Caenorhabditis elegans: one gene and its partners. Changing the gene in region 2 together with the main gene of any one other region gives a genetic interaction. Each region holds a gene or a part of one and is shown on either strand. Other genes may lie near its edges. The genes, in order: ZK418.6, egl-15, rpc-2 and metl-18.

Evidence for each region.
Region 1: changes in egl-15 (region 2) and ZK418.6 together harm fitness more than expected from each alone (negative genetic interaction), as found in Caenorhabditis elegans (one large-scale study listed by BioGRID).
Region 3: changes in egl-15 (region 2) and rpc-2 together harm fitness more than expected from each alone (negative genetic interaction), as found in Caenorhabditis elegans (one large-scale study listed by BioGRID).
Region 4: changes in egl-15 (region 2) and metl-18 together harm fitness more than expected from each alone (negative genetic interaction), as found in Caenorhabditis elegans (one large-scale study listed by BioGRID).

The regions. Positions count from the first base shown.
Region 1 is NC_003281.10:7,076,058-7,080,578, reverse strand, and holds ZK418.6 (G-protein coupled receptors family 1 profile domain-containing protein), read left to right. Parts: upstream 1-1,741; 5' UTR 1,742-1,743; coding exon 1,744-1,815; intron 1,816-1,926; coding exon 1,927-2,013; intron 2,014-2,429; coding exon 2,430-2,563; intron 2,564-2,608; coding exon 2,609-2,772; intron 2,773-2,825; coding exon 2,826-2,956; intron 2,957-3,008; coding exon 3,009-3,225; intron 3,226-3,537; coding exon 3,538-3,745; intron 3,746-3,793; coding exon 3,794-3,965; 3' UTR 3,966-4,007; downstream 4,008-4,521. Other genes in the region: ZK418.7 (G-protein coupled receptors family 1 profile domain-containing protein), read left to right, coding at 9-98, 151-284, 330-493, 579-709, 888-1,312, 1,358-1,502; ZK418.13 (Pollen-specific leucine-rich repeat extensin-like protein 1), read left to right, coding at 4,230-4,283.
Region 2 is NC_003284.9:11,014,742-11,022,411, forward strand, and holds the start of egl-15 (receptor protein-tyrosine kinase), read left to right. Parts: upstream 1-1,658; 5' UTR 1,659-1,699; coding exon 1,700-1,787; intron 1,788-1,840; coding exon 1,841-1,902; intron 1,903-1,949; coding exon 1,950-2,111; intron 2,112-2,694; coding exon 2,695-2,764; intron 2,765-2,838; coding exon 2,839-3,189; intron 3,190-3,203; coding exon of another isoform or gene 3,204-3,398; intron 3,399-3,473; coding exon 3,474-3,709; intron 3,710-3,783; coding exon 3,784-4,023; intron 4,024-4,071; coding exon 4,072-4,233; intron 4,234-4,279; coding exon 4,280-4,387; intron 4,388-4,436; coding exon 4,437-4,873; intron 4,874-4,941; coding exon 4,942-5,020; intron 5,021-5,075; coding exon 5,076-5,369; intron 5,370-5,545; coding exon 5,546-5,742; intron 5,743-5,792; coding exon 5,793-5,876; intron 5,877-6,408; coding exon 6,409-6,513; intron 6,514-6,567; coding exon 6,568-6,730; intron 6,731-6,775; coding exon 6,776-6,889; intron 6,890-6,981; coding exon 6,982-7,108; coding exon of another isoform or gene 7,109-7,152; and 7 more. UniProt on the Caenorhabditis elegans protein: Receptor tyrosine kinase required for larval development. May phosphorylate adapter protein soc-1 which in turn may result in the recruitment and/or activation of phosphatase ptp-2.
Region 3 is NC_003281.10:5,555,609-5,563,394, forward strand, and holds the start of rpc-2 (DNA-directed RNA polymerase subunit beta), read left to right. Parts: upstream 1-1,756; coding exon 1,757-2,488; intron 2,489-2,901; coding exon 2,902-3,809; intron 3,810-4,049; coding exon 4,050-4,139; intron 4,140-4,188; coding exon 4,189-4,471; intron 4,472-4,768; coding exon 4,769-4,963; intron 4,964-5,234; coding exon 5,235-5,613; intron 5,614-6,072; coding exon 6,073-6,631; intron 6,632-7,149; coding exon 7,150-7,294; intron 7,295-7,786. Other genes in the region: hach-1 (3-hydroxyisobutyryl-CoA hydrolase, mitochondrial), read left to right, coding at 1-368, 421-794, 993-1,213, 1,264-1,382.
Region 4 is NC_003281.10:3,424,096-3,428,607, forward strand, and holds metl-18 (protein-histidine N-methyltransferase), read left to right. Parts: upstream 1-1,642; 5' UTR 1,643-1,645; coding exon 1,646-1,810; intron 1,811-2,475; coding exon 2,476-2,628; intron 2,629-2,678; coding exon 2,679-2,797; intron 2,798-2,803; exon of another isoform or gene 2,804-2,897; intron 2,898-2,996; coding exon 2,997-3,095; intron 3,096-3,759; coding exon 3,760-3,913; 3' UTR 3,914-3,999; downstream 4,000-4,512. Other genes in the region: golg-4 (GRIP domain-containing protein), read left to right, coding at 1-174, 511-648; K01A11.1 (Spaetzle domain-containing protein), read right to left, coding at 4,325-4,444.

The DNA of each region.
Region 1 (4,521 bases), on a different chromosome or scaffold from region 2:
TATTTCAGAACTGCTCGAGTATATTTATCTTCGGCAAAGATGAAAAATACGCGGAATGTCCCATCGAAAATGGAACCGATCCATGCTACTTGCTCAAGGTTAGTTGCGAGATTGAAACTTGAAGGGTTTTCTACAATAATATAAATTTAGGAAGTCCACCGAGCGAAGGAATTCCGTACTTATTTTCTGGCAATTCTTCCCATTATCTTTTCAGTTATAGCGTGTCTTCTAAACATTGGATATTTAATTGCACAATTGAAATGTTTTACGCAGGAGAAAACTAGGTATTATATAATTGAAACTGTCTGTGTTATATAAAATATATTCAGTTTCAAAAAGCGTCAAGTGTTTCTTATAAGTCGATCTCTGTCAATTATTCTGGCTAATTTGTTATTCTACGTGGTTGTTATCGTTTGGAAAGCCAACGGATTTGTATATACATCTGCAATGATTTTCATTCTAATTGGAGGAATCAACTTTTTATCAGTAACAGGTAAGGTTTTATCTGTTTCATCTGAAATTGTTTGCATCTAAAACTTTCGTATTCAACTAAAATCACTATAACTTGCACCTTATAGGTACCTACATCGGTCTCACAATCCTTCTCTACACAGCAATTGCACATCAGTTTTGGTACATGACAAAACTAACTCTCACACATTGTTGGCTTATTATTGGATTGATTTGGCTGCTTTCGGCAGCTTCATCTGTAAGTTTTTCCAGTTTCAAATTGTAGTAATTTAAGACAAATTTTAAGAATTTCTTCACTTTGAAAATTATCGCGAAACTGTTCCAATTGTAATTGAGATTTGAAAAAAACTTTTATCAGCGACTTTCTGTTGCCTAGGAATATGTAAATAATTTTAATTGTTGAAAAACGTTTCCAGATATGCATTGGCCTATGGGGAGCAACTCTTTTCTACCCAGAATCTGCTCCAATATCCTGTTCATTTGAGAAATGCCAACAACCATTAGCCATAATCATAGTTGTTGGTTTATCTCTATGTTATGGTACAGTAATTGGTCTTTACATTGCAATGATGGCAAGATTACATCGTCTCGTTAGAAAATCTTCAATGATTCAAGCACGATCAAATTCAAATAGTATGACAGCAATGAAACGACTTGGATTGAATATGATCACATTTGCAATTGGAAGTATTCCTATTCTTATTGTTTGTATTGTTGCTCTTGCAAATCTTCGAGAGTTATCATCATTGGGAGAAGGGAGTAAAGGCCCTTGTAAGACTTTTTTGCACAGTTCTCTCTTTGTTGAAGTGGAAATCTTGGCAAGTGTCGCTGCAATTGTTTGGTAAGTTTTGAGGTACATAATTCTAAAAATTGCAGTTATTTACAGGCTAATTGCAATGATAATCGATCCAGTTATAAACATTTTGGCTGATAAAAAGATGCGTGGATTATTCGCCAAACAGATTAACCGGGTCTCACAACGAATTCGCCGAGCTTCCACAAAATCCACAATCTCTACGGATGATCAATAATTATTTGATTCACGCCGTTTAGAATTTTAAATCCTCTATAGAGCTAGTAATATTACTACGGGTTCCATATTTCACTTTTCTGGTTATTTTGAATTGTTGGTTTGCTGGTCTCATGGTTTATTGATAAATAGTTGCATTATTACTGTTGTACATTTAAAAAATCTACGTTTTCTTCGAGTAGCATGTGTGCTCTATTGATAAACGTTTGTTTTCCCTTCTTTAAATTTGAGATATTTTAGAAATGTTTGGAGAACAATGTTCATACAAAAAAGGAGTTGGTGGAATGATAGATGATATTCCATTCATTTTTCAGGTAAATTTTGATTCGATTGCGAACCCCCAGCATAATGTATTAGATTTCACACGCTGTGCTATTTTCTCTATCGTCTGTCATGGAAAAATAAATATATTAACTAATTATCAGAACTGCTCTCAATATTTTGTGGATGGGGACGAAATTTATGCAACGTGTGACATCGATAAGGAGACGGATCCGTGTTATTTGTTAAAGGTATGAATTAAAGTGGAGATATCTTGAAAATGTTCTAGCAAAGCTCTAGAATCCTAGCTCTTGTTCTAGATGTATTTAAGTAGTGTATACCAACATTTAAGTAGTGTATACCAGTAGTGTATTTCAACATTTTGTTTTGGCAAACTTTTGGCAAATTGTCTGATTTTCAACTAAAACTTGAATTTTTGAGTAACTTTGAAATTTGTTGAAAGTTCGAAACCATGTAATTATACAGTACAAATACTTAAAGCGTATTTGAAGAATAAAACTTGGAGAAAAAATATGTTTCCTTTGCTGGACTTCTACTCTATAGAGCTAATTAGTTTACTTTAGCTTCACACTCTATTTTGAAGTTTCATCAACTTTTTTTTAAACCTTTTGTCATTCTGAAAACAACGTAAATTACATTTTTCCAGGAACTCCATCGATCAGACACGTTTAGCACTTATTTTCTTGCCATCATACCGATGGTTTTGTCAATTATCACATTTATTATAAATCTAGGATACTTGATAGCTCAAATCAAATGTTTTAGATATGAAACTATGGGGTATGAGAATTGTTAGCGAAATCTCTGCAAGTTAAACATTTTCAGTTTCAAAAAAAGAGAGGCATTCCTAATGAGTCGATCATCATCAAATATCTTTGCCATTGTATTATTTTATGTTATACTTATTGTTTGGAAAGTTAACGGATTTAATTATGTTTCAGCAATGATTTTTATTATTATCGGAGGTAGCACGTTTATGTCAATTACTGGTTCGTTTAATCGCTAATTTAGAAATCTTAAAACTTTCATTTAAGCATTCCAGGTATCTATATAGTTCTGACAGTAATTTTATATATGGCCGTAGCCCATCACATTTCCTATATGACTACGATAACTCTTACACATTGCTGGCTAATTATTGGATTAATTTGGATAATATCAACTGTTACATCTGTTTGTTTTCTTGTCCATCAATTGTGATTAGTAAAAAAAAATAGTATTCTAGGTTTTTGTTGGAATGTGGGGAGCAACACTTTTCTATCCAGACTCTGCTCCTTTTACCTGCTCATTTGAATCTTGTCAGCAGCCGCTTGCAATTGTGATAGTGATTATGTTATCGATATGTTATGGTACAGTAATCGGTTTATATATTGCAATGATGGCAAGAATTCATCAATTAGTTCGAAAGTCTTCTATGGTTCAAGCTAGATGCAATTCAAATAGTAAGTTTTGGATTGAAATTTAATGATTTTGGGGTTCTTTTTCTGCTTTTTCGATTTACGAGAGTTTTTGACAATTTCTACTTTTCTTTGCCGGAGATAACTCAAAAGATCATTTTTTAAATGTATTTGAAAAAAAAAATTCAAAGCTCGTGTGCTGTGGATATTTAATTCCTGGTATTGTTAACATTTCCTCAAGAAAATAAGAAATTAATATCTTTCATTAATCTATACTTCACATCTTTTTAGAACTTTCTAGATGCCTCTATCCCACAACAATTCTATTTAAATAAAGAAGAACTTTCTGATTTTAAGGTATGATTGCGATGCGTCGATTGAGTATGAATATGATAACTTTTGCCATTGGAACTATTCCTATTCTTATTGTTTGTATAGTTGCACTTGTAAATCTGAAAGAGCTTTCATCATTAGGAGAAGGATGTAAAAGTCCCTGTAAAACATTTCGTCTAAGTTATCTCCTTATTGACGTTGAAATGATGGCAAGTATATCAGCGATTGTTTGGTAAGTTGAGAAAATCTATATGATATTGTTACACGAGATATTTTTCAGGCTTATCGCTATGATTGCTGATCCTGTCATTAATATATTATCGGACAAAAAGCTGCGAGGCGTTTTCATCAAACAATTTTCAAAATTTCCATCGATTTTTAGGAAATCTAAAGAAAGAACCACATCAATCACAGAAGTTTCAGAGGACCACTCTGAAGTCGAAAAGTTGTGAATATTTAATCAGTTTTACACAATAAAAAATCTACCTCCTGTAATAACAAAAGTTCAAAATATCAACCAAAAAAAAACATTTCATTTGTAAATCTAGTAACACACAATTTAACTAAATTATTCAAAACGTGTTCACTTTTAATTCGTTTCATTTTTCGAAACCGTGCGAAAAAAAGTTATCTTGATTCAATTTCAATTTATTCAACCAATTTCAACACGCATTCCTCAAATTGGCGTTATTCATAACTTGGTAACAATAGGACAAATGCAGCAAGCCTCAGAAAAGAAGAAAAAACGAGAGGCCGCCAAGAATCCGCAGGTGGGGGAAAGATCGGCTTTTGTCACATGGCCGTGAGAAGGGAACACTCGGCCATCAGTTTTTTTTCTCGCGGCCACGGGACATCACAATTACATCGCGATGTGCGTATAATTCATAACGAAATCGGTCAATCGCAATACGAAGATTTCTAATTTCGTGTGTCCGCAATGTTAAACTTTGGAACGAACACCAAAAGGTGTTTTATTGTCTGGCCCGCAGACATATGTGAATAGTAAAA
Region 2 (7,670 bases):
GATTTATAAAGGAATGCAACACAAACAGGTGCGCGTAAATAAAGAAAAACCGAAATTGAATTAGCTTTTGCATCTAAATATGTCGCCTACAATTATCCCGTGTTCTATCATTTTTGGCGACTGACTGCCTTATGCGCAATGCCCAATCACTAACCCCTTTTCTTTTTAACGCATCTCTTTTCTCATCATTGTCCATTCTCGTTTATCTCTCCTTCTTTTTCTAATTCCCTTGATTTTCTCTCACTTTCTGATTGCATTTTTCTATATTGATTAGCCTGTAGACACATACCAAATACTCCAAAAAATAAGACCCACAGCAACAAAAAACCGACGCCTATGTTGTCGGTTACCGTCTCATGATTGTAATGCCCCCTTCTCTTTTTCTTATCACTCTTTTCTAATGGAATTCTTGGGGGCAACAAACTGGTTTAATGACAAAATTGAAACAAGAAATCCATTCACCTACCTGTTAAAATTGAGTAAATGATGTGACATTTGAATTAATTAGACTCGCAACTAACCATCTCGTATCCGCGATAAGCATCTCTTGGAATGTTGGTCACACCCTGTTGTGCAACTATTAAGTTTTGAAATTACAATTTTATAATACATAACTTCTACAAAAAAGTGCCTAGAAATCGCACAGATTAAATTACACTTCAATAATCAAAAAGCTGGTTTATAACTAAATGTTCTAATCATTAATCACAACCTAAGTTTTTTATGAACATTTTCTTTTTATTTTTTTAGGAATATTTAGATAGAATGTTTCACTAAAGAAGTATCTCATTATTTTGAAAACTAGCCTTATAATCTCAAATTTGATCTAATTTAAACTATTTTATATGCAATGTATGACGTTGGTTTTGAAAAGTTACCATAGCGTTATTACGCTTACATCAGCTGCTAAAATTTGTTTTTATTATACATAACGAGTTTTTATAAAACCTCAAATTGCTCTAAAAAAATTACATAACTCTATAACATAGCCGTGATCATTGAAAAGATAGACCCACTTTATTCGCTATATCATACTGCAAGACTAGCAATAAAAAGTTACATTGTGTCCGGAAATGTTGAAAGGTTTTTGTTTCCGTAACATATGCACTGCATCCGGAAGAAACACCTCCAGATGTGACTTCTTATTCAAGGTTTTGCTTCGATATCAATCGAAACGGCATTGTGTCATTCCACCTTGTCGGCGAAGACAACGAATCCACAACATCTTAACATCTGGACGTCTTTCGTCGTCTCAATTTGACGCTCGTTCACTTTTTACTCTTTTTATTATCGCCCTCCGCTCGCTGCTCGTTTTTTTTTTCTATGAGCAACATATGCGTAAATTTAGACGGTTCTAATTATGATTTGCTTTAGTTTCTTGATTGTTCCCAGAGATCATTAGACCTTATGACCCAGAGGGTCGGAACTTTTGAAAACGTTGCGCGGGTGTCGCCAATTTGTTACATATGGTGGTGGGGTATGGAGCCAGTAATATATAACCCATGGCTCGCGCAGAGGTACCAGTAAGAACCCAACAAATAAATCTTTGTACCGGTCTGATTCACCTCTCTCACATGTATTCAATTTCAAAAGTTTCACAGCTTCTCCTTCTGAGTGTTTTAATATTTTGATTATTAGTAGATAAATAGTAGATACAAAAGATTGCAGAAATTCGAATGTTTGCCTGATACATATCATCATGAGTTATTTCCTTGCATCCTGCCTCGGTGTGGGCTTACTTTCTACAGTTTCTTGTTCTCTTCAAGGATTGACCAGTCATTACAGAGGTAAGAGAGTTGTCACAAAATCTAATTTATTTTCATATTATTCGATTTTACAGAAAATATTCCCCGTTTCAAGCATGTAGCAAACGAAAGATACGAAGTATTTCTTGGAGATGAGGTTTGGTGGAACAAATATTTAACAGCAATAGATGTACACAGTTTTAGATAAAATTTGACTGTCAAACCGCGGCGTCAAAGATTTCTGCCTTTGTCGAATGGTATCGTAATGACAAGTTACTCAAAAATGATCAAATAGATAAAGACAAAATTCGGAAAGATAATAACAGGATGATGCTTCACTTGAAGAATATTGATGTTTCAGATCAGGTATATGATTTTTTATTATTTTTGTGGTTTTTTTTTTGTTGAACAATGTGGTTAGAACACCAAGTATCGCATTTCTCCTATTAGAATTGCATGCATTTCTATTTTTTTAATTGACAATTTAGAGTGCAAAGACTGATAGGAATTCAAGACTAACATACACTATGAAACTGTATTTCGATGTCTCGTTTCAAATTTGGTTTTTCTTGTTTTTAACCTAAAATACTGGAGTTACCTAAAATACCGTAAAGAAACAATACAACATGATAATTAAAATGATTTAATGTTTGAAAAATGTTTGGAATTATTAAAAAAAAACATTTAACCAATAAAAAATATCTTGTAGATGCTAAAGTTTGTGTGATATCTCTTGCGCGTGTTTAGTTCTGCAAGAATAATATGAAAGAAAATAGGAAAAAAAACTATAACCGACTACCATGAGTTTTAAGCATCATCAAAAATATATATTAATTCAAAAATACCAACAAACTGAGAACTTTTTTCAGCAGTTTTTGACTCTGTCAACTTAAAAAAAAACGTTTATTTAAAAACGTTTAAAAACGTTTAAAAACTAATATTTTTGCAGGGTCTTTGGTCTTGCCGCGTACACAACGCATATGGACAAATATCACGAAATTTTACAGTTGAAGTTATTGGTAAGTATCTCTATTGCTCGATTCTTTGCAGTGCAAGCATAATTTCTTCCATGCATGGTGTGCTTTGTTTTCAGACTTTTGTGATTACTTCCTGTTTCCCGATATTCATCATTTGAACATTCCGATGGAATGTGTTTGTTTATGGAAATACAACAAAGAAGCAAAACGATCTGATGTGAACTATGCAGCGGTAACAGGAGAAGTCTGCTCAAAGTACGCATCTCGCATGATAAATAGAGCACGAAAACCGTTGCCAATGATTCCTTGCTTTGGTGATCACTGCAAAGAATTTGACACTACTCCTGTTTCGGATTTTGGTTTACCTGGGAAACCCGAGGACGATCCTTTAGTAAAGCGTGTTGTTTTGAAAAAAGATGATGTGATTGTGCCCGTGCATGACTCTGAAGAAAGTCCATCCGAATCCAGTAAGTTATTTCAGATCCACTTAAACTGTTCGATTGGCTCACTGAGCATCGAGTATTCGATATTAGTCATTTATTGCCAAAATTGCTACCTCCTGCGGAAATGAGGAGAGTGAAAAGCCAATTGGGCGGATGGGAGAAGATGAATAATGAACAGAAAATTGTTCGAGCCAGGCACATTCTGAGATTAAGACAGATCAATCATGCTTTGGGTAGGCTACATCAGTGGTTGAATTATTTTAAATGCTTCATTTTCTTCTTATATATCTCAGTAAACTTGTTTTTAGGAACCGAATTTATCAATGCTGATGAAAAAGAAAACAAAGAAGACGAAGAAGAAGACTATAGTGTTTCACAACCGGTTGCTCCAGATGCGGGGCTCACTGAGCTGAATATTACTGCGGAAGAGCCACCATATTTCAAGTCAAACGACAACATTGTATTGTTTAATGAAACGCATGCTCTACCAGCAGGACGAACATTGAAACTTAATTGTCGCGCAAAAGGATACCCTGAGCCACAGGTACGATTCATGAAAAACTTGAAATTTTTCACGTAAAGAAACATTGGATTTTCAATCAATGCATTTGATCACAGATTATCTGGTACAAAAACGGCAAAATGTTGAAGAAAAGTAGTGCTCGGTCCGGCGGATACGAATTCAAGTTCAATAGATGGTCTTTAGAAGTGGAAGATGCTGTCGTAGCAGATTCTGGGGAGTTTCATTGTGAAGCATTGAACAAAGTTGGAAGTGCAAAAAAGTATTTCCATGTGATCATAGTCAACAGAATGAGAAGACCGCCCATTATCGTTCCGAATATTTTGGCTAATCAATCAGTAAGATTTTGCCTCACGGCATCTATAGTTTCAATGTTTTATATTTAGGTAAATATTAATGACACTGCCACATTCCACTGCAAAGTTGTCTCTGACTTATTGCCTCATATTATTTGGGTACGCATCAACAAAATCAATGGGTCGTATAGCTACTACAACAATTCAGCTGAAGAGTATATGTTCAATTACACAGAGATGGACACTTTTGATGTATGTTATGAAACATGTTCTCATCTATCAAAAAGTGTCGTTTCAGAAAGCGCACGTCCATCACGTTGGTGATGAATCGACGCTTACTATTTTCAATGTGTCGCTGGATGATCAGGGAATATATGCTTGTCTCAGTGGAAACTCACTGGGGATGGTAAGAAATTGATTGAACCTTCTAGTTGAACAAATTAAGAGTTTTACAGTCGATGGCGAATGCCACTTTAACGGTGAATGAGTTTATGGCCATACATTTGCTCACTGGTGACGAACCGAAGATAGATAGATGGACAACATCCGATTATATATTTACAACAATTCTGCTTTTCTTACTGCTTGCTGCAACATTATTTGGAATTTTGTTTATGGTGTGCAAACAAACACTACACAAAAAAGGATTCATGGATGATACTGTTGGATTAGTGGCAAGAAAAAAAAGAGTCGTAGTTAGCAAAAGGCCAATGAATGAAGATAATGAGAATTCGGATGATGAGCCATCACCTTATCAAATTCAAATAATAGAGACTCCAATTACAAAGAAAGAAGCAGCGAGAAAACAAAGAAAACGTATGAATTCAGAAAACACTGTTCTTTCGGAATACGAGGTTGATTCGGATCCAGTTTGGGAAGTTGAAAGATCAAAGTGGGTCAAATCTTTAATACATTCAGCCAGACAAGAATTCAATTTAAACATTAAATTTCAACGTTTAGATTGAGTTTGGTTCACATGCTTGGCGAGGGAGCATTTGGAGAAGTTTGGAAAGCAACATACAAAGAAACAGAAAACAATGTAATTTTGGGAAAACAAAAAAACAAGAAAATCTGAAATTTTAATTGCGTTTCAGGAAATCGCAGTTGCTGTCAAAAAATTGAAAATGTCAGCTCACGAAAAAGAGCTCATTGACTTGGTCAGTGAAATGGAAACATTCAAAGTTATAGGAGAACATGAGAACGTGTTGCGATTGATTGGATGCTGTACAGGCGCTGGTCCGCTTTATGTCGTTGTTGAGCTGTGCAAGCATGGGAATTTGCGCGATTTCTTGAGAGCACATAGACCTAAGGAAGAGAAGGCAAAAAAGTCCAGCCAAGAATTGACGGATTATTTGGAACCACGAAAAGCATCTGATAAGGATGACATTGTGAGTGGCTTATGTTTTGAATAAAATATGATTTTTTCCACTGACAAAATTTGAAATACTCATCAAACTTTGAAAATCTTGTAGAAAAGCGTTTTCCTGATTGCTCATTATCAGTAAACCTGTCTTAGTCAGTTTTAAATTTACCAGAGTAATTTTGCTGAAATTTTCATTTTTAGGAGCTCATACCAAATTTGACACAACGCCATCTTGTACAATTTGCTTGGCAAGTGGCTCAAGGAATGAACTTCTTGGCATCAAAGAAGATCATACATCGTGATTTGGCAGCAAGAAATGTTCTCGTCGGTGATGGACACGTTCTGAAAATATCGGATTTTGGACTATCGAGAGATGTGCACTGTAACGATTATTATAGGTTGTAACATTATTCCTAATGATATATTACTGATGATATATTACTTCCAGAAAACGTGGAAACGGCAGACTTCCCATTAAATGGATGGCTTTAGAAGCGTTGGACTCAAATGTATACACCGTGGAAAGTGATGTGTGAGTAATGGTTTTCTGTGGTAGAAAAGTTTCGTGGAGGTCCTTTCCAGGTTCACGTTTGAAAAAAATTGATTTTTCAATATAATCACATATGTCTTATTTGTCTTTTCACACAAGTTAATCATCCTGAGTCAACCTGAGCATCTGAATCGGGATAGCTGTATATTTATTTTACTTATTTTGGGTTTTTAGGATACAACGTTTTAGGATTTTAATTTAGGGAAAAACATTAAACATAAATATATTTGTGATATGTCTGAATTGAAGTTGTTTCCCGCCTGTGGAAAAATAGTTATAAAAAACTATTGAACGACAATTTAATTTAACAAAAAATATATTATTCAAATTTGAATATCAAAAAAAAAAAATACTATTGCTTCCAAAACTATCACTCTGTGAACAATGCATTCACCATTTTTCTTGGCACGCTTTTATTTCAGTTTTCCATTTACATTTTTTGGGGCAATTTTAGGGCACGACAGTGGTTGTGTACCAAAATTAATACTATAATGACTCATTGATACTTTTGTAGATGGTCATATGGAGTTCTCCTTTGGGAAATCATGACACTTGGTGGAACTCCCTATCCAACGATTGCCATGCCTGAACTCTATGCTAACCTCAAAGAAGGATACAGGTGAAAATATTGAGAAAAACATGCAAATCTCACCTGTCTGACATGTTTTTGCAGAATGGAGCCACCACATTTATGTCCCCAAGAAGTCTACCATTTGATGTGCAGCTGCTGGAGAGAAAAATTGGAAGAACGACCATCTTTTAAAACAATCGTAGATTATTTGGATTGGATGTTAACAATGACAAATGAGACTATTGAGGGATCACAAGAATTTAATGTAAGGTCATACATCTGTGACAACATTTTTGAGGATATTTTCCAGGATCAATTTTTCTCCGAAAGATCCACGGCATCAGGTCCAGTTTCTCCTATGGAGTCATTCCAGAAAAAGAGAAAACATCGCCCTCTTTCAGCTCCAGTGAATCTTCCATCAGAGGTAGATCAAAACGTAATTTCGTACATAACGTATTTAAATTTTAAAAGAATTTAACCTATGAATTCGGAATCCATAAAGCACTGTTTTTGCAGCCACAACACACAATTTGCGACGACTATGAGTCCAATTTTTCTGTAGAACCACCCAATGATCCGAATCATCTCTACTGCAATGACAATATGCTGAAAAATCACATTATTACACCGGAAACCTCTCAACGTATTCCATCAAACAACAATAGCATGAGCAAACCCGAATTTTGACCGTTTTTAGTGTACATCCACAAAGTGCTCAACGAACCAATCGGAAACGGGTATGTTCGACAAGATAAATTAGCTCGTGCCGTCAGCGGTGTTGCCAACCAATCTCTCGACTCTGCCCTCGGTTCACCAGCTTGGCCTTCGTACGACCGTCCCTCTAACAAAGCTTCTTGTTTAGGTTCGTTTTCAGTTCGCTACTGACATTTAAGTTCAGGGCAACGATTTCAATGAATTTATAGATGATGAGAAGCATCACTACTATTACTCATAGTAGTCTCTCCGCCGTTATCAGATGTCATTTAAAAGTCCATTGTGGTAATCATGTTTCCGTGTTGTGTGTTTTTGTCCTGTAACATTTTTGTTTGGTGTAATGGGTTGCAGAACATCAAATCACATAAGTTAGCTTACAGATTTGCCTCCGTCAAGTGTCCAGACTAACATGACACTTATAAATGTTGTGCTATGTAACCTTTAAAGTTTCATTTGCAGATCAAACTCACCAGTATTATAATACAACGTCT
Region 3 (7,786 bases), on a different chromosome or scaffold from region 2:
CCGTGAGCGCCGCCGCCAAGTCGGAAATCCTTGTCGACACACACGGATCGAAGAAGGTGGTTACATTGAATAGGCCTAAAGCGCTAAACGCGTTGAACCTCGAAATGGTACGAGAGTTTTATCCCAAACTTCAAGCCTGGAATTCATCTTCCGATGTGGATCTTGTCATTTTGAAAGGATCCGGTGATAAGGCGTTCTGTGCTGGAGGAGATGTTCTTGCCGTTGTGCGATCTTTCAAAGATTCGGAGAGTGGAAAAGAGTGCACAATGCACAAGGATTTCTTCCGCGAGGAGTACATTTTAAATCATTTAATTGGAACTTTGAATAAGCAATACGTTTGTCTGATTGATGGAATTGTGATGGGAGGAGTAAGTTATCTGCAACTATTTTCTTTTCAATTTTTTAAAAAACTTGTTTCAGGGTTGTGGTCTTTCTGTAAATGGACGTTTCCGAGTTGCCACTGAGAAAACAATGCTAGCAATGCCAGAAACCGCACTTGGACTCTTCCCAGACGTCGGTGGATCCTATTTCCTTTCAAGGCTCAAGGGAAACCTCGGAATGTACTTGGCACTCACTGGATATCGTCTTCTAGGTGCTGACGCTTTCCATGCTGGTCTTGCCACTCATTTTGTGGAGTCTTCGGAACTTGCGAAATTGGAAAAGGAACTTGTGAATATTAAGGATGTGACAGAGAACTCTGTCGATGAAGTCATCAGATCGTTCGAGCCAAAGAAGATTCCAGAATTCAGTCTGTCCAAGAATTTGGCTCAAATTAGAGATTCCTTCAAAGCAAAGTAAGATATTTTGTCACCAAGATCACGTGTATTTGAGTTGGAACAAATTAAAAAGTAGCATTTCATCGAATTGATTTATTATTGTTTCTCAGATAATATTAGTTTTAAGCAAAAACTAGGAAAGGGCCAGTTTTGAGGATTCGATAGCACACAAAAAATTACATTTGCCTAAGATATATAAAATAATTGATTTTTCAGAAGCGTCGAAGAAATCCTCGCAAGCCTCGAAAAAGACGGATCCGACTGGGCAAAGAAGCAAGCAGCCACTCTAGGAAAAATGAGCCCAACTTCCCTGAAAGTAACTCACCGACAAATCACCGAAGGAAGCAAGATGAGCTATGCAAAGATCTTCACAATGGAGTATCGTCTCACTCAACGATTCCTCGCCGATAAGGATTTCCATGAAGGGTGCCGAGCCAGTGAGCAGAGATTTTGTAGGGTTTCATTGAAAATTTGACTCATTTTTCAGTTCTCGTTGACAAGGATCGCAAGCCAAAGTGGAATCCAGCGACGTTGGCTGATGTGAAGGATTCTGTCGTCGATAACTATTTCTCGCCATTGCCAAATAATTCTGATTTAAAATTGTAGAGGCCAGAATTAGCGGAAAATTGAATTTTTAATGGAAAGCTAAAAAATCAGGGAAACCCATAATTTTTATCGGATTTCCTCGTTTTCCTATCTTTTCACCCAAAATGTTGATTTTCCCCCATAATTTTTACCATTTTAATAGGAACCCCTTATGTATTTATTTTTAGAAAAATGTCTAGCTATAATTTAATTTTTCCGGGTGTACAAATAATTTCCGTGCCTTTTTCAGCTATTCGCCGTATGAATATAAAGTTTTTTTTTGTTTTTGAATTTTATTTCCAGATTTCTATTGCAAACTGTTATTTTCTGTTTTTGTACCTCTTTTTCAAATAATTTTTATTCTAGAATTTCAGATTTTCAATACCAATTTTCAGATGACAATTGGCCAAGTGAACGGCCGCGCTCGCATAAAATCCGAGTGCGGCAAGGATCAGAAATGCATGCCACTCGAGGACAAATGGCTTCTCGTTCCCGCGTTTTTGAAAGTTCGAGGACTCGTCAAACAGCATCTCGTCAGTTTCGATCATTTCGTGCAGGAGGAGATCCGAAGTATCATGCTCTCCAATCAGAAGATCACTTCCGATGCAAATCCAAACTTTTATCTCAAATATTTGGATATTCGAATCGGAAAACCCAGCAGTGAGGAGGGTCTCAACATGACTCACGATAAGATTACCCCTCAAGAATGTCGACTACGAGATATGACCTACTCGGCGCCAATTTCAGTGGATATTGAGTACACACGTGGTAATCAAAGAGTATTCAAGAAGGATCTGATCATTGGTCGAATGCCGATTATGCTTCGTTCGAGTAAATGTATTCTCAGAGATCTTGCCGAAGAAGAGCTTGCAAGAGTTCAAGAATGCCCATATGATCCAGGAGGTTATTTTGTGGTCAAAGGAAGTGAAAAGGTTATCCTGATTCAAGAACAACTCTCCAAAAATCGTATTATGGTTGGAAGAAATTCAAGTAAAGAACTGCAGTGTGAAGTACTTTCGTCGACGTCCGAGAGGAAAAGTAAGACATATGTGACTATGAAGAAGGGTAAATATTCTGTTCGCCACAATCAGCTCACCGATGATGTACCAGTTTCCATCATTTTCAAGGTAAATTTTGAGAATTTTGATGACAACTGAAAAAAAAAATGTTCGGCATTCATTCCTAAATATTTTATTTAAAAAAAAAAACATCCAATACAAAAACATTCTCCGAAAAATATTTTTCCAAATTTTGATGCAAAAAATATTCTCAAAAAATGTTTTAGAATAAAAAATAATGAAGCTTTCTTTCTTTCTGATTGTGAGAAACTGAACATTTTACGATATTTTCAATCGAAATTCCTCAAAAACATTTATTATCGAATCTGGAGTTTTTCAGATTTTTTTTTCCAAAATTCGAGTTCGCTTTTTTTAATTCAAGAAAATTATTACAAAAAATAGGGAAAATTTTAAAAAAAGTGTAGCATTATGTTAAAACAAAAACTAAAAACCGCTTCCTTTTCAAAGTTTCAATTTTCCAGGCGATGGGAGTCGAATCAGATTTTGACATTGTGAGTACAATCGGTCACGAGGAGAAGTACGTTTCAGCATTTGCTCAAACTCTCGAAGAATCCATAAATGCCGGAGTTTATACCCAACAGCAGGCACTCGCATATGTTACCTCAAAAGTCAAGGCTCGTAAATTCACACCATTCGGATCACTTCCAGGAACTTCAGTGAGCGTCTTGACTCCACCGAAAGAACACGAAGCAGTCGATTTTCTGTCCAATTCAATGATCACACATATTGCTTGCCCAGATGGAAATTTCAAAATGAAGGCGATTTATTTGGGATTAATGACAAGACGACTGATTCAAACGGAACTCGGAGAAAATGGGCTTGATGATCGGGATTTCTACGGAAATAAACGTTTGGAGCTCGCTGGATCATTGCTTTCGTTGCTGTTTGAGGATGTATTCAAAAGATTCAACTCTGAACTGAAAAGAATTGCAGACAATGCGTTGATGAAGACAATGGCTGCACCATTGGATATTGTGAAGCATATGAGACAAGATATGATTACGAATACTATAGTGAATGCTATGTCGACAGGAAATTGGATTATCAAAAGATTCCGAATGGAACGACTTGGTGTTACACAAGTACTAAGTAGATTGTCATATATCTCAGCACTTGGTATGATGACAAGAATCAACTCGACTTTTGAGAAAACTCGAAAAGTCTCTGGTCCTCGATCCCTTCAACCATCTCAATGGGGAATGCTTTGTCCGAGTGATACTCCTGAAGGTGAAGCTTGTGGTCTTGTGAAGAATCTCGCTTTGATTAGTCACATTACAACTGATTCCGATGAGAAACCCGTTCTCAGATTGTTACTCAATTCGGGAGTCGAGGATTTACATAATGTGCATTTCTCGCATGTCAATAAGCCGTGAGTTTTTACAAATTAAAATTTTAAGTGTGAAATCTTGAAAAATAAAAGTTTTGAGAATGCTAGTTTTGAAAAAATCGCATATTTTAATCAATTTTTATAAATTTCTAAAATAAATTATCAATTTCATAAAAATTAGATTTCAAATCGAGTTAAGGTTTGACAATTTTTGAAAATTACTAGATCCATTTTTTTGTGTTTTTTCCTAAAAAAAAGGTTATTTTTATCGAAAATTTTCAGTGAAAACACGTTGATCTTCTTAAACGGAGTGCTCATTGGAACAGCTGTGGATCCAGAAAGAGTGGTGAAAGCCGTCAGAGATTTGAGAAGGTTTCAACAAAAAAATGTTGCCAAAAAATTCATCGAATTTCAATTTCAGAAGTGGACTCCTGTCAGAATTTGTTTCAGTATCCCGTTCTCTAACCAATCGTTCTGTTTTCATTTCATCAGACGGTGGCCGCCTGTGTCGACCATATATTATTGTCAAAAACGGAACTCCAATGCTCACACAGGCTCACGTGCAGGAACTGAAAGAGGGAAAAATGATTTTTGAGGATTTTGTTGATGACGGAATTGTCGAATATTTGGATGTAAATGAGATGAACGATGCGTTGATTGCCGTTTATGGGAGAGAAATTGGCCCAGAAACTACACATTTGGAGGTACGTTTTTGAACTTTGTGAATCTAAAAATGAAAAAAATTAAATCGAAAACTGGTTGTTCTTTCCTGTAAAGAAAATTCAAAAAATTTGGTAAAATTTGTCTGAAACTTAAAACTATGTGAAAAAAGTTTAAATTCTCATTTTTTTAAATATAAAAAATTGAAAATCAAATTATTTAGAGCTCTAAAATTCTATAATTCAAGGAAATTCCAACATTTAAAGATTTTTATCCTTAGTTTAAAATAAAATTTGCACTTTTCAGTGTCTGAGCTATTAATAATCTTTCAAAATTTCCAGATTGAGCCATTTACTCTTCTTGGAGTGTGTGCTGGTCTTATTCCATATCCACATCATAATCAATCTCCACGTAATACTTATCAATGTGCTATGGGTAAACAAGCAATGGGAACAATTGCCTATAATCAACAGAAAAGAATTGATTCAATTATGTATCTTTTATGTTATCCACAGAGACCACTCGTTAAGTCAAAGGTTCGTTAAAATTGAAATATTTTAAAATTTATGAAAAAAATTTGATTAAAAAATGCATGTTTCATTTATTGAACTAATGTTTGTGGAGAGATATCGTTAATAATCCTGAAAATAAAAATAAATCAATTTCCTGAATTCCGAAAAATAAAAAAATCAAATCGGAAGTATCCGCTATATCTTTCTAATCAATTATTCTATTCAGAAATTTTTAATTTGTTTTTCTTTTAGAAAATTATCAATTGTTCAAACTTTTTACATCACAATTTTCCAGACAATCGAACTGACAAACTTTGAAAAACTGCCGGCCGGCGCGAATGGAATCATCGCAGTGATGTCATACAGTGGTTACGATATCGAAGATGCTCTTGTGCTCAATAAAGCTTCACTGGATCGTGGTTATGGTCGTTGTCTGGTCTACAAACATGTGAAGGGAACCGCCAAAAAATATCCGAATCAGACATTCGATCGTCTTCTAGGACCAGCATTGGATCCGAACACGAGAAAACCAATTTTCAAGCACAAAAATCTCGATCAAGAGGGTATTGTATTCGCCGGAGCACGTATTATGCCGAAACAGACGATTATCAATAAGCACATGCCAGTTGTCAGTGGAGAAAGTGGTCCTGGAGCGTCGGCTTCTGCCAATACAAGTATGTTGAAATGAGCATGACGAATTTGTATAAGGAAAATAAAAACGGAATGTACAGTTTCGAGAAGACATCTATTTTTTTAAAAGTTTTACGAAAAAAAACACGAAAAATATAAAAAAAAAAGAATAATAAACAATTCCCAGACCAACCTCGTAAAAATGAAAGCGAGTTTTCAACAGAAACCCTGTTTTAAAACTTTTTCCAAAAAATCTGAAGTATTTATAGCATTTTTTAATTTTTACCAATTAAACAAATGTTTTAAAAAAAAACTCAAAGAAACTGTCTCCGTTCTTTTTTGCGAATATAAATTTTCTAACTTTTTTACGTTCACAATTAAATAAAACTTGACATTTATTCCGTTCAAATATTCAATTAATTTAATTTAAAACGAAAATTTAAATATAAAACTCTGAAAAAGTAAAAAAAAAAACGTTCACTAACAATTCTTTAAATTTTCAGTCGGAATCGCTGGACGCCAAGTTGACTACAAAGACGTCTCGATCACGTATAAAACTCCAACTCCATCATATGCGGAACGAGTTCTTCTTACCTATAATGAAGATGAAGCTCATTTATTCAAAGTTCTTCTTCGACAAACCCGTCGGCCAGAACTTGGAGATAAATTCTCATCTCGACACGGACAAAAAGGAGTATGCGGATTGATTGCTCAACAGGAAGATATGCCATTTAATGATCTTGGAATGGTGCCAGATATGATTATGAATCCTCATGGATATCCATCTCGAATGACTGTCGGAAAATTAATGGAATTGTTATCTGGAAAAGCTGGAGTAGTGAATGGAACATATCATTATGGAACAGCATTTGGTGGAGATCAGGTTAAAGATGTCTGTGAAGAATTGGCTGCTTGTGGTTATAATTATATGGGAAAAGATATGCTGACAAGTGGAATTACTGGACAACCATTATCTGCTTATATCTACTTTGGACCAATCTATTATCAGAAGCTCAAGCATATGGTTTTGGATAAGATGCACGCCCGTGCCAGAGGACCGAGGTGTGGAGAGATTTTGAATTTAGATAATGTCTTGTCTGGAAATTCTGAATTTTGGAAAGAATTTTCAATTAAATATTTAAAAATTAAGTTTAGCAACAAAATCTGAAAAAGAAAAATTTTTAGAACAGTTAACTCTGCATTTTCCAACTTTCCTTTAAAACTTTTGATGTAAAACAATGAGGAATTGCAACATTTTTTTAATTAGAAAATTTGGTATCAATCAAAATTCACTTATTTTTATCATGGTTAAAATTTCGAAAAAAGCCAAATTGAAAAAGTTCTGAAAAAGGAATTGACAAAATGCTCGAAGCTTAGGAAATTAGGGGAAAAAAGAATCAATTTTTCATAGTGGAAATACATTTTTTTCAAATCCAATTCGCGGAAATGTTATGCATATTTTGGAACAAAAAAAACCATTTTAATTTTTCTCACATTTTTTAAATTAAAAAAAAAACTTTTTTTAAAAATTTTTTTCAATTTATTCTCAGAGTTTCTTTTAAAAATCTATAAATTTTCAGAGCCGCATTGACTCGCCAGCCAACAGAAGGAAGATCACGAGAAGGAGGTCTACGTCTTGGAGAAATGGAACGTGATTGTCTCATTGCCTATGGAGCATCGATGCTGCTTATTGAGCGTTTGATGGTGTCATCAGATGAGTTTAAGGTAAATTCCCTTACCGAGTTTTTTTTAAAAGTTTGCTACTTTTGTGTGTGTGCGCGCAATTTTTGCTCATCATTACACTAGCCGTAACACTCTCAAGTGGTTCTTTTTTGCGAAAATGAGGAGCGAAACTGTTGCGGGAGAGACTGGGAGAAGCCTTGCGTGGGTTGACTTTGCGGGTCGACTTTTCTTGGAAACTGGGTTGACGTTTTTTGGAAAGGTTCTTGAAAATTTTTGATTTACCGCAGAGAAAATTATGGATTTTGTTTGATCATGAGAGAATACATTTCCCGACTTTTATCTGAAAATATCGAAAAAAAAGGTCGGAAACCGATTATTAATTTTTTTTTGAACTCCCACTTTTTTATAAGAACAGAGAAATCGATTTTAAAAAAAGCATTTTCCCTAAAAACTTTTTAAAAAAAGCAAAACTTTCTATTTTAATGGCTCTGAATCTCTGTTGCTCGGAAGTTAAAAAAAATCAAATTTTCGGTG
Region 4 (4,512 bases), on a different chromosome or scaffold from region 2:
CGAATGCAAGTCTCACGGAACGAGAAGACGCCACGATCCAATGGAAATGCTTCAACTGGCAGAACGAAATCTATGGAATTACACGGAATTGCTGATCCGGCAGAAGCTGAATATCTACGAAATGTACTATATCGATACATGACTAATCGAGAATCTCTTGGAAAAGAATCTGTGGTAAGGGGAAATTGAATTTTTGAATTTTTGGGTGAAAAATCATGATTTTCATGCAATTTTACACTGAAATTTTTCCGAAAAATTGCCAATAATTGGGCGGAGCTTAATCTAGAAAAAAAGTAAAAAAAACCAATAAATGGGCGGAGCTACTTCTAAAATTTTTGAAAAATTGCCAATAAATGGGCGGAGAATTTAAAATTAATTTAATTTAAAAAGAAAATTTAAAATTTTCAAAAAATAAAATTAAGTCAATTTTTTTGAAATGTTTAGTTTAAGCTCCGCCCATTTCTTGGCTCATCTCGTAAAATTTGAACTAATTTTTCTAAATTTTTGCAGACATTGGCCCGTGTAATTGGAACTGTGGCCCGATTCGACGAGTCTCAAATGAAAAATGTGATAAGCAGTGAAGAATCAAGGCAGGCAAGCTGGGCGGCAGCTGTTGGTGGAACTGTTAGCCATGCGTTGAATCGATAATTCGAAACTCTAATTTTTGCTCAATTTTCTCTCATTTTTCATGTTTTTTTGTGTGTGAAACTGACTAATTTTCTCTCAGAATGTGATAGCCAAGAAATGGGCGGAGCTTACGATTTTTGTCGAAAATTTTTGGATTTTTTTTTCAATATTTTCTATGGAAAAAACCGAAAATTGAATTTTTTGAACCGATTTTTTGAAAAATTATTTTTAAAAAATTTTCTGCGATAATCGCAATATTAGTTTTTTCTTCAAAAAAAATTCAAAAAAACTAATTTTTAAATTTTCCACAAAAAAAAAAAATTTCTAAAAATTGGAATTTTTCGAATTGTCTATCAAAAAAAACGCTCGTAAATCGACACTGAGAGAAAATTAGCCAATTACAGGCAAAATTACGTCTTCTTTTAGATTAACCCCCGTAATTAGAGTTTTTTTTTCAATATTTTTCAAATTAACAAAATTCTTTTTTTTGGATATACCCCCTACCGGTTATTAGATTTTTGAAAACAATATCCCCCGATTTTTTTCTAATTTTTTTAAAAATAATTTTTTTTTTCGTAGAAATTCTGTTTCCTCTATATTGTTCTGCTTTATCCTCCCAACGACTGTGATTAATCGCCGAAAAATTTTTAGATTTTTATTTCAATTTTTTTTCGAACAATTTATTGTGTATATATACGAGAAATATATATGTAATAAAATTTTTTAATTTATTTCGAAAAAAAAAATTATTTTTATTTTTTCAAACTTGCGTTAGATTTTTACCAATTTTGATATTTTATCGGGTTAAAAAATTTTTTTTCAGATTTTTTGAAAAATAGTTGATATTTTTCGGGAAATTTCCAGATTAAAAAAAATCATATTTTTCAAAAAAAAAAAGATCAAATTTTTTGGAAAATTTCAGAATTTTTTAAAAACTTCCGGGTTTTTTGAAACATTTCCAGATATTCCAAAATTTTTAAAAAATCAAGTTTTTCGAAAAATTCCAGATTTTTTCAGAATGAACGTGCTGAAGCTCACCAATGGCCGAGAAATCTCCTACTTGAACGAAGTGGAAATTCGAATGGGAATTGATGAGCTTAATGGAGAAGAAAGATACAAAAAAGAGCTGGAAAATATGGAAACGTCCGATATTACAGTTCACAAATATGAGGGTGGATTTAAGGTGCTGATTGTGACGTGAATTTTAGAAAAAAAACGACATTTTTGACTGAAAATTGGAGTTTTTTTAATTAAAAAAAATTATTTGGGAAAGTGAAAAAAAAATGGAAATAACTTGAACAAACATAAGAAAATTTTAAAAAATCGAAAAAAAATCGATAAAATATTGTTTTAAAAAATTTGAAAAAATTAGATTTTTTCTGCATTTTAAATTTTTTGAGTCTCCTTTTTTCTGGAATTTTTAAAAATAATTTTGAGAATTTTTCAGAAATTTTTGTGAAATTATCCGATAAACTAGGTCCTATTTTTCGTGTTTTTCACTGATTCTAATTGAAATTTGAATTTTTTTTCCCAAAATTTTAAAAAATTCAAAATAAATATATATTTGGATTTTCTGCGAATTTTATATTTAGAAATTCAAATTTTCAGAAAAAATGTTTTTTTGAATTCTATTTGCGATTTTTTTTTAATTTGAAGCGTTCGAAATCTAGTGGCATAAAAATTTTGAGAATAGCGTTTTTTTTCAATTTTCTTTCAGAAAAAAATTTGAGAAAAAAATTGAAATTTTGAAATTAAATCCAATTTTGCAAAAAAAAAAAAAATTCTTCTAATATAAAAATTTAATGTTTTTTTTTAAATTTAATTTTTACTTAATAAATAAATTTGCAGATCTGGGAATGCACCGTCGATCTTTGCGACTATATCGAAGAAAATCAAACGCTTTTCGCCGGAAAATCAGTTCTAGAGCTCGGCTGTGGAGCAGCTCTTCCATCAATTCTCACGGCGGTACACGGAGCTAAGGAAGTTTTCGCTCAGGACTTTGTAAGTCTACGAGATGAGTTAAAACAAAAAATTAATCTAAAACATTGCAGAACGCGTCAGTCATCGAGTTCTTCACACTTCCAAACTTCGAAGAAAATCCGCATTCAGCAGTTGTTCAAGGAGAAGCAATGGGATGGGAAGAGGTTCCGAATCGATTGAGCGGAAGAAAGTAAGCAGCAAAAAGACATCAGCCCAATGCGGGGCTCGAACCCGCGACAACCAGATTAAGAGTCTGGTGCTCTACCGACTGAGCTAACCGGGCGGCGATGTAGACTCGTCTTGGTGGACGTTTTGTATAGCGCCCGGCTGGAGACGGGGGGGGGGGGGGGCCTAAGACGCAGAACTTTATGTTATATTCCATTTACCAGATTCGACTTCATTCTCTCATCGGAAACCATTTACAACGAAGATGACTATCAAGCTCTCCACGATGCGGTCGCTGCAACAATCAAGGATGACGGAGTCGCGTAAGATCGTTTGTGTCGATTTACGCAGCAGCTCGTGTATTCCTCGAGGAGAAGAGAGTTTTTTTTTTAAAGCTTGAGACCGTTTTTTTTCTGTACTTAACATGATATTTGGCAATTTTGCTAGACAAAAATCGCAGAAAATCGATTTTGATCACGAAAAGTGAACGTTTTTTGTTGGTTTTTGTATACAAACAACCTTTTTTGTCGAAAAATTTTTTTAAAAATTAGAAAAAATTTTTAAAATGTTGAATTAGCTTTAACGCTTCTTCCCCTTTTTTTAATATCAAAAAGTTCTGAGATTTTTTACCATAAACTTTTTTTCGCGGCGAGACCCATTCTTAAGAATTTCTTAGCGTTTTTAAGTATAATTTTCGATAAAAATAGTTTAAATAAAAATTTTTTTAAAAATCTATGTTTTCTGCCCAAAAAATTGTTTTTTTTAATATTCCGATTAAAATAAATTTCATTTTTCTTTGGTTAAAAAATCGTGTCGAAAAATATAAAAAATATTGAATTTCCTTGAAAATGAGTCTCTTTTCATTGAAAAAACCCACACAGAATACGAATTTTTGCCGAAAACTTCTCCTCGAGGACTACACGAGCTGCGTAAATCGACACATGGAAGAGATTCAAACTCTTCCATTTTCAAGCCCTTCAATTTCAGATGGTTCGCCGCGAAATTCTTCTACTTTGGCGTCGGCGGAAGTGTTCCAGCATTCTGCGAATTTATCAATCAACGCGGAATTCTTCAAGCTTCTGAGGCAAAAGTGATCGCCGCTTCAGTGCCCAGACGGATTGTGGAGATTCGGAAAAAATGATTTGAATTTTTTCGTCTTTTTGTTGTGTTTTTTATTTGTTAAGTTGTTCAAGAATTGTCCTTTTTCAATAAAAACTGTTTCATTTCAAGAAAAAAAATCAGTCGTAAAATGCACACCTACCCGCCATTAGTTTGTAAGTAGAGAGAATAATGAGAAAAATGGGAAAAATGGAACGTTTTGTACTGACAATTTAAGCAGCAACACGTGGTGTCAGAGTGTCTCATTTCGGCTTGATCTACGTCGATCTACAAAAAATGCGGGAGACGAGACGCAGAGTTCTGCACTGATGCTGTATGGTTAAGAACGTGATGGCGTCACTTTTTTTAGGCAGAAAAAAACTCCCGCATTTTTTGTAGATCAAACCGTAATGGGACATCCTGACACCACGTGCGCAAAAAGGGGCTAAAATGACTAGAACTCCTGATGACCGTATCGATCCACTGGCCACATACATTGACAAGAGATTGGAGCATCTGGAATTGTAAATGGATGCCAATGAATTGAACCAACACTACGACGAGACACGTGTACCTAAAAGAAATTAGGAATTGAGTGTGTGTGAAAAACACTATATTTTACGCGCAATTTTTGTGGAAATT